3 linked regions of the Oryzias latipes genome follow. The protein of the gene in region 2 interacts with the protein of the main gene of each other region in a pairwise test. Links are inferred from orthologs where the notes say so. Each region holds a gene or a part of one and is shown on either strand. Other genes may lie near its edges. The genes, in order: heterogeneous nuclear ribonucleoprotein D0-like, heat shock protein beta-1 and nvl.

Region 1 (3,678 bases), about 11 Mb from region 2:
CATAAGAGGTGAGACAGGAAACGCTTGTCCTCCTGTCAGAGCAAGTTTCAAAATAAAAGAGCAAAATGAAAAAATAAACCTGAAAACCCCTGAGAGCGTTTTTCACAAAAGCACAGAAGCCGAGAGTGCAACATTTAATGACGAGAATTAAAGAAAAATACAGAAGAATTACACAGTTTAGGGTCTGCAGTTACGCTTTAGGTCTCAAATTGGACGCAAAACTTCTGAAAGTTCATAAATAAAAAGAGTAAATCAAGTGTGTCAAAGGATAAAAACTGGTTTAAGCTGAGTAAAAAAAAAAACGACACGAACCTCTCCAAAGGCACCAAAGTACTCTCGGACCTTCTCCTCTGGGGTGTCTGGAGACAAACCACCAACGAAGACTTTCTTCACCGGCTCCTTGCTCTTCATGGCCTTGGCTTTTTTAGGGTCGATGACTTTTCCGTTGAGTTTATGTTCCTTCTGTGACGCCACCTTCAGAACAGAAAGCAGCAAATACATAAATAAAACTCACTAAATGACACAACAACAACAAGAAAAAAATCAAAGCTGATGTAATAATTAGAAACAGAATATAGAAGGAAAATGTTGAGGCGTGTCTCCACAGAAATCTGCTGCTCATAACAACATCAAACGTAAAGAAATATTTCAAAAGGCTGACGTGTTCACTCATGAGTTTGTCTGAAATCTTCTGAATTTATTTGATAAATAATATTATTGCTTTTTTTCGCATGAAGGAAATGACTAAGCCTCCAAAATAAAAGACGAACTTGGAGCTGAAACAGTTAAATGTTAAACTGCTTCACTGATTTATTGTCAATTCAGTGTGATTCGAACAAATATGTATTTATTTCAAAAAAGTTGTGAAACAAACTTTTTTTAAATGAGTTAAGTTAATCTGCACGTATCTGTTGATTTAAACTGAACAAAGGTGAACGTTTTATGAATAAATTCTTGAATGTTTGAAATTCTTGAAAAATAAAAAATAAAAAGCTGCTTTTTAAAAAAGTCAAAACAGAAGACAGTGCTTACAAGAAAATTTCCTTGATCTGAGAGACATTTGATTAGATCAGACTGTTTTTTTCAACACCACCCCAGTAAAAACAACATTTAGGTATTGAACAGAATCGAACCTTTTCCACACTTTCGGCGTCTTTGAAGAGCACAAAGCCGAAGCCCCTGGAGCGTCCGGTCATGGGGTCCAGCTTTAATGTGCAGTCTACCACCTCCCCGAACTTTGCAAAGTAATCTTTCAGGTCTTTCTTCGTGGTGTCCCAGCTCAGGCCTCCAACAAACATCTTCCTGCCAGCAAAAAAACATTTGGAAGGAGATCCGTGGTATAAGTTTGTGTTTGTTGTGACCCAAGTCCTAACTATAAGAATCTTTCCTCGGGTTGCTGCTGGCATTTTCATTCATAAAATATAAAACGAGTGAACAGTGTGATGAAAGAAGTGAAACAGAAAGAACTGAAGAAAGCCTCTTTGTTTTTATATGACCCCGAAGAACCCACAGGGTCAAATTTGGCAGCTTTTCCTTTTTTTTAATTTATGTTTTTATGTAAATTATGTTTTTCTATTGTGTTTTTTAGCCACAGTTAATTGCTGCTCCCCGAAACAAACAAAGAAACTTTCAAATGAACTTCAAAGACCCACTAATGAAAAAGGTGTTTGGGGTATTTTTAGCATGTTCTTGTAGCATTTTTCTGATGATGGACGACATTTATGGTAAAATTAAGCTTAGACTGTGTTTCTGAGTATTTCTTTATTCAAATCGTTGTGCATCAGGGGCAGACGAAGAGTTTGAAAAAGATCATATTTGTGATGTAGAAAAAACACGCTGGGCGGGGCCACAACCTCCCTGCTCCTCTCCATTCTAATGCATCCACTTACATACAGACTAATAGATCCATCTGCAAAGCTTTGTTTTCCTCGTCTGAGCTGGAATCTGGATCTGAATTTGTTGCCCCGCTAATGGTAGCTTGGGGTTGTGAGAAGCCATAAGCTAGCAGGAGGGCTTGTGAATAGAGACCTCTCAGTTAGGGTGATGGGGGGGGGGGGGGGTCTGTGCCAATGGTCCCGCCCACAATTTAGAGGTGAATTTCTAATAAACTCCCGCCGCTCTGCAGAAACTAAGTCTTACAAAAAGACAGGTTTTTTTTATTTAGCTAAAACGGTATAATCCTAATCAAAATAAACGCCAATACATTTTTGGAACTCACCAAACGTTGCCGCAAATATAAAACAATTTGAAAATAACTACAACAAATGTGCGTCCATGGATCAACAGTGCCGTGGATAACCGTGCAGGAGCTTTCCCGGTCATCCGAGCTGTATGTCCCAGAAGTCTCTCTGGGAGTATGTTTGTATGAAAGGCTCCCCGCGCGGATAAACTTACCCTTCATCTTCTTCGTTTTTGCTGGCGTCGATCCTTGATCCCTCGGCCTCGTCCCCCATCAGGCCGCCATCCCCCTGAGCTGACATGGGGTCGTCATTGTTAGCCTCTCCATCCTCCTCCATCCTCATCATACTCGGGTCTTCGCTAAATTCATAATCCTCAGACATCTTCACTTTTTTCTCGAAAAGATCAAATGCTAGTTCTAATGAAATGATTTTCGGAAAAAAAAAAATCAAAAGTAATTTTGAGCCAAAAAAAATTCGATTTATTTTAAGCTAACAGCCAAGATAGTTGCTAGCTGCTAACAGATAACAAATAACAAAAGCCGATGTTCAAAAACAGGACGAGGCTAGCTCAACTTATTCGAAGTTATCTCAAAATTTAAATAGATAAAGAAAACGCCTTGATCTCTAAATATAATTTTCTTTCAGTTCTAATAATTTTAAAGGATATTTTTTCATCCGATATTTTAGTTTTCTTGCCAGTCGTTTCTTGTTTGTCTACTTCTGCGAATCCCAAGTGAGCATTTGAGTGCAGAGCGCCACCTGCTGCAGCGGAGATGTAACACCAGGGTAATTTGTAAATAATTGAATATTTTACATTTTTTAAAAGGGACTTTATTCAAATGAATTGTTCTCTTATTAATAAATAAATAAAGAGATTTGTTGTTTTAGTTTTGAGCCTAATTTTCCAAGATCCAATTATCTTCATCTTAAAAATCTTTAGATACAGTTCTAAATCTAAATATGAAAGACTTTTAGTATTGGACCTTTTTTTCTCTCCAAAATAATGGAAATGGTTTTAGGAGAAACCAATCAATCAATCAATACATACATACATAAATAAATAAAAAGCATGACCAACTCTATATTTGATTGTTTTGTTTAAAAATGCTAGGCAACAAAAACAAAAATAAAATTCTGAAATTGAAATGAAAGGAAAGGAAAACTGCTCAGCAAACGAGCAACCAGAAGAAAAACTTTATCAAAATCAAAAATCATACTAACACTGACACTCATGATGGCGCATCAGGGACACCATCAAAGAAGAAAAAAAGACATATGTATGAAAATAAAGTCATACAATTATTAAATAAAGTTAAAAGTTAGGAGCATTAGTTTGTACAACATGAGAACAAAGTCATACAGTTATGAAGAAAAATCTAATTTGTGAGAAGAAAGTTGTACAATTGTGAAAAATAATTCAACAATTTTCATATATAATGATAAACAAAGGCTTCAAAAAGTTGTAAAAAAATATTACATTTAGCTTTTAAAATGTGCA
Region 2 (2,665 bases):
GTGAACTTTGACCTTTTGTACTTAAAGAGAACTTTAAAGGGGGGGGAAAGAGCAAAACTAATTTAATTTTAAGTTTGTCTTTTTATTAATATTAGATTTGTTTTATTTTTGTTTTATATAACTTTGGAGTGCTGTCTCCATTTCCCCCAAATTAAGGTAGAGTTTTTAAGAGGTAAAAAAATTAAGTTAAGTCTTTAAATCTTTATTAAATTTGCAGTTAAAACTGTTTTACAAGGTAATGATATAATATTTTCAGAAACCTCGTACAAACAATATCATACTTCACACCGTTTTAAATTTAGTAACAGTAAATTTTTGCTGCACAGCTACAAAAAGACTTTTTTTGTCTATTCTTTTTTCCGTGTCCTTGCCTAAAATATTGATCCTTACAATATACTGTTAGTTATTATGGGTTGTAAAAAATTGGTGACCTCTGACCTGTTTTTAGGTGTAAGTTTTCATGTTAAAAAAAAGTTTGAGCTGCAAGAATGAATATTGTGACAAAACCACAATCTGTGAAAGAAATGTATTTTTACCAAATTTTATTTCTGTTTCATTGTGAAGGCTGAAATTGCATAATACAATCATTCTACAAGAACAGTAAGATAAAGACCAGTTTATAGTAAACAAAATTTTAGTGCAAAATTACAAAATTAAAAAGGACAGCAAGGGTTTGTTTTATTGGATCCAATACCATTTCTGCTTTTTATTAAGTTTAAATTAGATTATAAAAGTCTCAAATCTCCCAAAAAGCAAATGATAACATTAAATTTAAGCAATCTAGTCTGCTTTGTGTAATTTTAATAATTGCTGCTATGCACAGTTTGAGCTACTTTCTGCTCACTATGTTCATTTCTCACTGTCCTGTGTCTTTTTGGTCTGAACGGGGATGACGATCTCATTGTCCGGGCTGCTGATGGATGTTCCTGGGACGGGAGCTTCTACGGACAACATTCCTTCTGAGGACAGGGATGAGCTGATGTGCTGCAGATTCACCCCTTGTGGTAACCTCGAAAAAAATGAGAGAACGTTTGTCACAAACAGAAATATGTTACGGTCGCATCCTAAATGTGTCTCGAATTTGCTTCTCAGCCTCCTTACTTGTATTTACGAGTGAAACATCTTGAAACCAAACTGTGTTCATCTTGCTTTTCTTCATGAGTTCCTTAAAAAAAACAGTAATTATTAATAAACATCTTTATGTATAAAATGAAAAAAAATTAAGCCTACGTACCTGATATTTGCAAGTAGCCATCCTTTGTGCTGATGGAGATCTCTTCGGGTGAAAAATGATTGACGTCCAGGTTGATCTTCCAGCTGTTTTGCCCCGTTCTCACCTCAGACACACCGCTAGTCAGTTGTCTCAGACTCTTCTGGTCCGGCGTGATGGGAGGCAGGAGGGGGCTTTGCGTGTAACCCGGCCAGGAGAAAGAAGCCAGTCTCTTTTTTGCCCAGTCAAGCCAGTCCAGATCATTGGGCTCCAGGAAAGGAGGAATGCCGAAGTCCTGGGCAAAAATACGGCTTGGCTGAGTCCAGTTTGGGAAAGGATCCCAGCGGACATCTCGACGGAATATGGGCCGGGATAGTGTTTTATTTTGATCACCCATGTGGTTCAAAACTCAAGAAAAGGAGACTGAAAATAAAAGCTCTTGCTCCCACCTGACAGAAAAATGCAAGACGAGATCAGACCAACCAAAACGAAACTCAAAAACTGTAAGTAAGCAGGAGGTTTGGGGAAAAGCCTATTTTGGAGTCCGCAGCAATCCACTCACACGCTTTATATAACCAACGGCCTCCTCTTCACACTTGTGCTTTAACAAGTGTGATGTAAGGGATGAAATGTGATGGGCCGGGGCGTCAACTCTCCTGTTGCCCTGGGACTCGGAGAGGACAATGCCAATTATGTGTATTTATATCTTTTGAGTGTCTCCGGTAAGTTGTTGGGGAATGATTCTGGAAGCAGGGAGAAGTCGTGTCATTCAGCCATGGCCTCTGCAGTCCCGTCACATACTGGAGCTCTTTGTCCACCGAAACCACAGCTGCATGTGAAGCAGCACACAAAAAGTCAAACGGTAAACACAAGCGTTGCTTTTAGCCTCCCAACTTAACTTAAGAGCAAAACTGCAGAGCAAACAGGATCTCAGGGTGAAGAAGATAAAGACGTGTTTACAGCTGGTAAAAACAGATGGAGAGAAAGACTATGGAGTTCTGGAGCTGGTGTGGAATTTCACAGAAACATCTTCATGGGTTCAAAAAATAAACCGAGCTTGAGTGAGATAAATTATCTGAGGAATGGCATTTATCAGGGAGGCAACGTGAATATTTCTGAACTCTGCTCATAAACATTTCATTGTTTATCAGGTTTTAATGTTTGACACACCAGGTTACAACAGACTTGATGTCAGTCTGCTTAAGAATGTTATTAAGCACATGTTAAAAGAAAATATTGCCTGAAGTTTAGCTGTGCTATTGCTAGTTTACTAATGAATATAAAAAAGTCTAAAGTGTGCAATCAATGAAAATATGAGCATAGATCAGTTTAAAGGTGTTTTAGGGTCATCGAAAGGAAAACGCTCTTCAGTTGTAAATCCAAAAATTCTTGGAAATAACCCAGAGTTAATGTGTGTGATAAGAAACCAAATAAAGTGAATATACTGTAACATTT
Region 3 (3,758 bases), on a different chromosome or scaffold from region 2:
GACTGTAGTAAAAGGCTTTGTGCCTGTTATCATGCAGAAACATCTGTCACAGAACAAGATGCAGTCATGGCATATAGTAGTGCTTTCTCTGCTTGTGTGTAGTGGTGTCATTGAACAGGACACTGAACCCCACAATACCTTTTTTGGTCTGGTTAGTGACTTGACGGAAGACCTGCCTTCATTTAGTGTGAATCCGATCACCTGATTGAAAATCGGGCCCGGTCACATGGTTGATGACTCGATCAAAATTGGATGTTGTAGCTTGAACAGTATCAGACATTTAATTTATTCCTGTTATCAGCGCTTTATATTTCAGGCTTCATATTCCAGGTAAATGCTCTACTGGAAGTCTGCATATCATGAACAGATCAGCACATTTATTGTGGTGCTAGTTTGCTCAAAAACAGCTAAGCTTAGCTAGGCTAACATAATATAAGCTAAACTAGTAAGATATTCACAGATTCAGACTTCTGGGATTAAAACCTTTTCAAAAAACGTTTTAAACTGACGACAAGTGTCTATATTGAGTGGTCTTAACACAAAAAGCAACCAACAAAGCATGTTAAGAGATTTTTTGCTTCTTTTTAATAGAAACGGCACTCTGTGGTGCCAAAACAGACTCAGTGAGACACTCCTGTGGGAGAAGGTCATTTAACCCCTGAAGACCCAATCCTTTTTATTTCTCTTCTTGGGGTCCTGTTAAGCACAATTAATGGCTTTGGTAATAAAACCCAAAATGTGATGTCCACGCATGTTGATGTCTGGTCTTAAGACGTTCAAAAAGAATCCTATGTTGTCTAGAAAGTACAACCAAAACTAATAAATGGTTTCATTGACATTAATACTCATCATCATATTTATGCTACAATTGTTAAAGAAAATGTTTTTTACAAATTTTAATGGAGATATGAATCACATCTGATCAAAAATGTTCAATAGTTCTGCAGATACTAAAGCTAAAGTCACTTTAAAGTCACACTTTCTCCACATGACTAAATATCACCAGTTTTTACTAGGTAATAGTAACCTATTTTTACTACTTGATAGTTACACTATTCCTACTTGATTGTAGAGTTACTTTACAGAAATTCTATGTTTAAGTGTTAATAGGTAAAAAAAGGTTAAGAAAAGAAAAAAAAAATCATCTGTTTATTAAATTTGTTCGTTTTTTTTAATGTGTTACAGAACTATCGGATCAGGACTCGGTATCGGCAGATACTCAGAGTCATATGACTTGGAACTGCATTGGGCCCAAAAACATCTGATCAGGACACCCCTAGTGTGAATGAGTGTGTGCATTTTGGTGAATGGGTCCTTAACAGTAAGAGCTGTGGGCCTTACTCAAGGTAGAAAAGCTCTGGATATTTCTTCTGCAATCTACCATGGGAGCAAACAAGGCTGTGATAGGTGGGGTCTATACCTGCTCCACCCGCTGCCTGAGGCGGCTGTCCGTCCAGCCACTACTTTTGTTCTTCATCTTCTCATCAGAAACCTCACAACTGAAAGAAGTAAACTCAGAAAAGTTAAAATCCAACAAACATAATATCAGAAATAACCAACAAAAAGAGTCTCTGTTCAGCAGAGATCCATCAGTTTATGCAAAATGATTGATCAATCGACATCTCAGCCGTTCTGCTTTGACTTGAATGAATGTAAAAATAAATGTCAAATCCATTCACATGTTAGTTTCCTAAAGTTCCCCTTTGTTGTTTTTCCACATCCAAAGAATCCAAAGGGAACATTCTAGAACATTCTAGACACTGGATGGTCACATGACTTTATTCAAAGTCTGTCCACACACTGGACTGGAATGATGGACGGATCCGTGTTAATGACATCACATGTGTGTTGTAGTAAAATAAACCTACCATGCCTCAATCTAGATAGTATTTTCCAAGAGGATTCGATTATCGATGCATTTCATTTTGAAAATATAGGTCGATTTGATCTCAGATCAATCTGGTTGATTGTACTGTACCCTGCTGTCTTTACGACTTTACATCCTTCATTCAGGTAAGTTTATCTGATAAGGACAGTTGGGTGGCTTTATCTAGAATAATATGCGGGTAGGAAAAGCTCACGACGTACACGCAAAGGCTTCGTTAAAACCCCTCAGGGCTCTGATGGACCGTGTCCATGACATGATCATGAACATACCTCACTTCGATGCTCCGTCCTCCTCGTGCTGTTCGTTAAGTGACGTTACGTACATTACTAAAGGCAGCAAAAAAACCCGACCCACTTTCTGAGAGGGAAAGAAACCGAACTTGAGGTTTAATGGTCCAGCTTTCGTTCACCACATGGGTCGCAGGACGTTACCTTGGCACGTGAACCCCCAGAAAAGAAGGCAATAGCCGACAGCGCCTGGAAGCTCGGCCTTCTTCTGGTGTTTTTTGGCGTATGGCACACAGCGTTGAGGGGCATTACCGCCACCTACTGGTAAGGAGTGTGAGTAAGACCTATTAGTACGCCACACTCCACAGGCTGGTGGAGAAGCCCCTGGCTGCCGAGGTGTGGCTCAACGTGGGGCGGGGTTAAATGCGTTGTCGTGCTCCTCCCACTGTAGGTTATTTTTCTTCACTGCAATTGCTGTGTTTTTCTCCATTTTGCGTTTCCACGTGGTGAAATATTGCCACCTCCCAGATTCAGGAGTGTATCTTGAGATGATTATATTAAGGCTCGCCATTTACATTTTTTTTAATTTAGTAAAATATTTATTTTGATTTTTGGATATAAAGACTTTGAGGGGTTTTTTAGAGAAAAAAAACCAGCCGTTTTTCTTCATGGCTACGGGCAGACTGAACGGTGATGTGTCAATCATATAAATATATCACATAGACTTACACTAGACTAGACTATGCAATTCATTTTTTCCCGCATCTGTATTCCCTGCTTCTGCTCAGTTGACAAACACACCACCCTCCTCATCCTGGAAAAACAAGCCAAATCTGGGAGCACTTCACTTTAATTGATGATGTGAAAAGAGAATTTTGAGTCTGCAAGAAAACAATTCCATCTAGAACTGGATCCACAACCGACCTGCACCTGAGAACTGAGAGGATTTTCTCCTAAACAGAGCAGATCATTAATGACTGAAGAAGCTTCACAAAGATGAGACACTTTGTATTTTGGAATGACAACCTTTACTGTGACGAAAAATCACATACAGTGGGCGGAGTTAAACGTTGAGGCACGCCTCTGTCTAAACACTGCAGCCAGGGGCTTCTCAATCGATTAACTGAAAACGTCACGTGCCAAAGAACAAGTTCCTGATTGGTAGATGCGACGCAGCACCCTGAAAAAAATTCAGACGTCTGGCAGCGCAGCCAGACCTTTGTGCTGCACCCGAAGCTCAAATTGCGCCGCAGTACCTAAAATCACGGCTGTACCATTGACTTACCATAAAACAAACTGGCTGCCCCTGCCGCACGACTTGCGTTCGGCGTGTACGCAGCTCTACAGTGCTCATTAATTTCTGGAGCAGCAGCTGATGGATCAGTCTGGGACATACCATTGATCTGCAAATTTAGTTTAGATTAAAGTTCAGAAAAGCTGCTAAACATGAAGACCTTTATAAAGAAACAACAGACTGCCTTTGGAACTAAGGGTGAACAAGGAGTGGGGTGACTTCCAGCAGAACCCATTTCAATGAAAGACAAAGGGCAAATCAGAGACGTACACATACCTGCAGGTATCCTTATATTAAGATTTAATAGATACATCTGACTGAAATGTCCTTCAAATACATGAGAATTCAT

The links.
Region 1: the proteins of heat shock protein beta-1 (region 2) and heterogeneous nuclear ribonucleoprotein D0-like come close enough for resonance energy transfer, tested with the Homo sapiens proteins (2 studies listed by BioGRID). The link is inferred for Oryzias latipes from reciprocal best matches to the Homo sapiens genes HSPB1 and HNRNPD.
Region 3: the proteins of heat shock protein beta-1 (region 2) and nvl interact in binary tests that used the Homo sapiens proteins (3 or more experiments, as listed by UniProt). The link is inferred for Oryzias latipes from reciprocal best matches to the Homo sapiens genes HSPB1 and NVL.

The regions. Positions count from the first base shown.
Region 1 is NC_019870.2:2,825,210-2,828,887, forward strand, and holds the start of heterogeneous nuclear ribonucleoprotein D0-like, read right to left. Parts: upstream 2,923-3,678; 5' UTR 2,562-2,922; coding exon 2,395-2,561; intron 1,303-2,394; coding exon 1,134-1,302; intron 475-1,133; coding exon 313-474; intron 1-312. UniProt on the Homo sapiens protein: Binds with high affinity to RNA molecules that contain AU-rich elements (AREs) found within the 3'-UTR of many proto-oncogenes and cytokine mRNAs.
Region 2 is NC_019870.2:13,682,162-13,684,826, forward strand, and holds heat shock protein beta-1, read right to left. Parts: upstream 1,801-2,665; 5' UTR 1,608-1,800; coding exon 1,235-1,607; intron 1,166-1,234; coding exon 1,102-1,165; intron 1,010-1,101; coding exon 850-1,009; 3' UTR 526-849; downstream 1-525. UniProt on the Homo sapiens protein: Small heat shock protein which functions as a molecular chaperone probably maintaining denatured proteins in a folding-competent state. Plays a role in stress resistance and actin organization.
Region 3 is NC_019873.2:379,606-383,363, forward strand, and holds the start of nvl (nuclear valosin-containing protein-like), read right to left. Parts: upstream 2,424-3,758; 5' UTR 2,320-2,423; exon of another isoform or gene 2,158-2,319; intron 1,500-2,157; 5' UTR 1,478-1,499; coding exon 1,421-1,477; intron 1-1,420. UniProt on the Homo sapiens protein: Participates in the assembly of the telomerase holoenzyme and effecting of telomerase activity via its interaction with TERT. Involved in both early and late stages of the pre-rRNA processing pathways.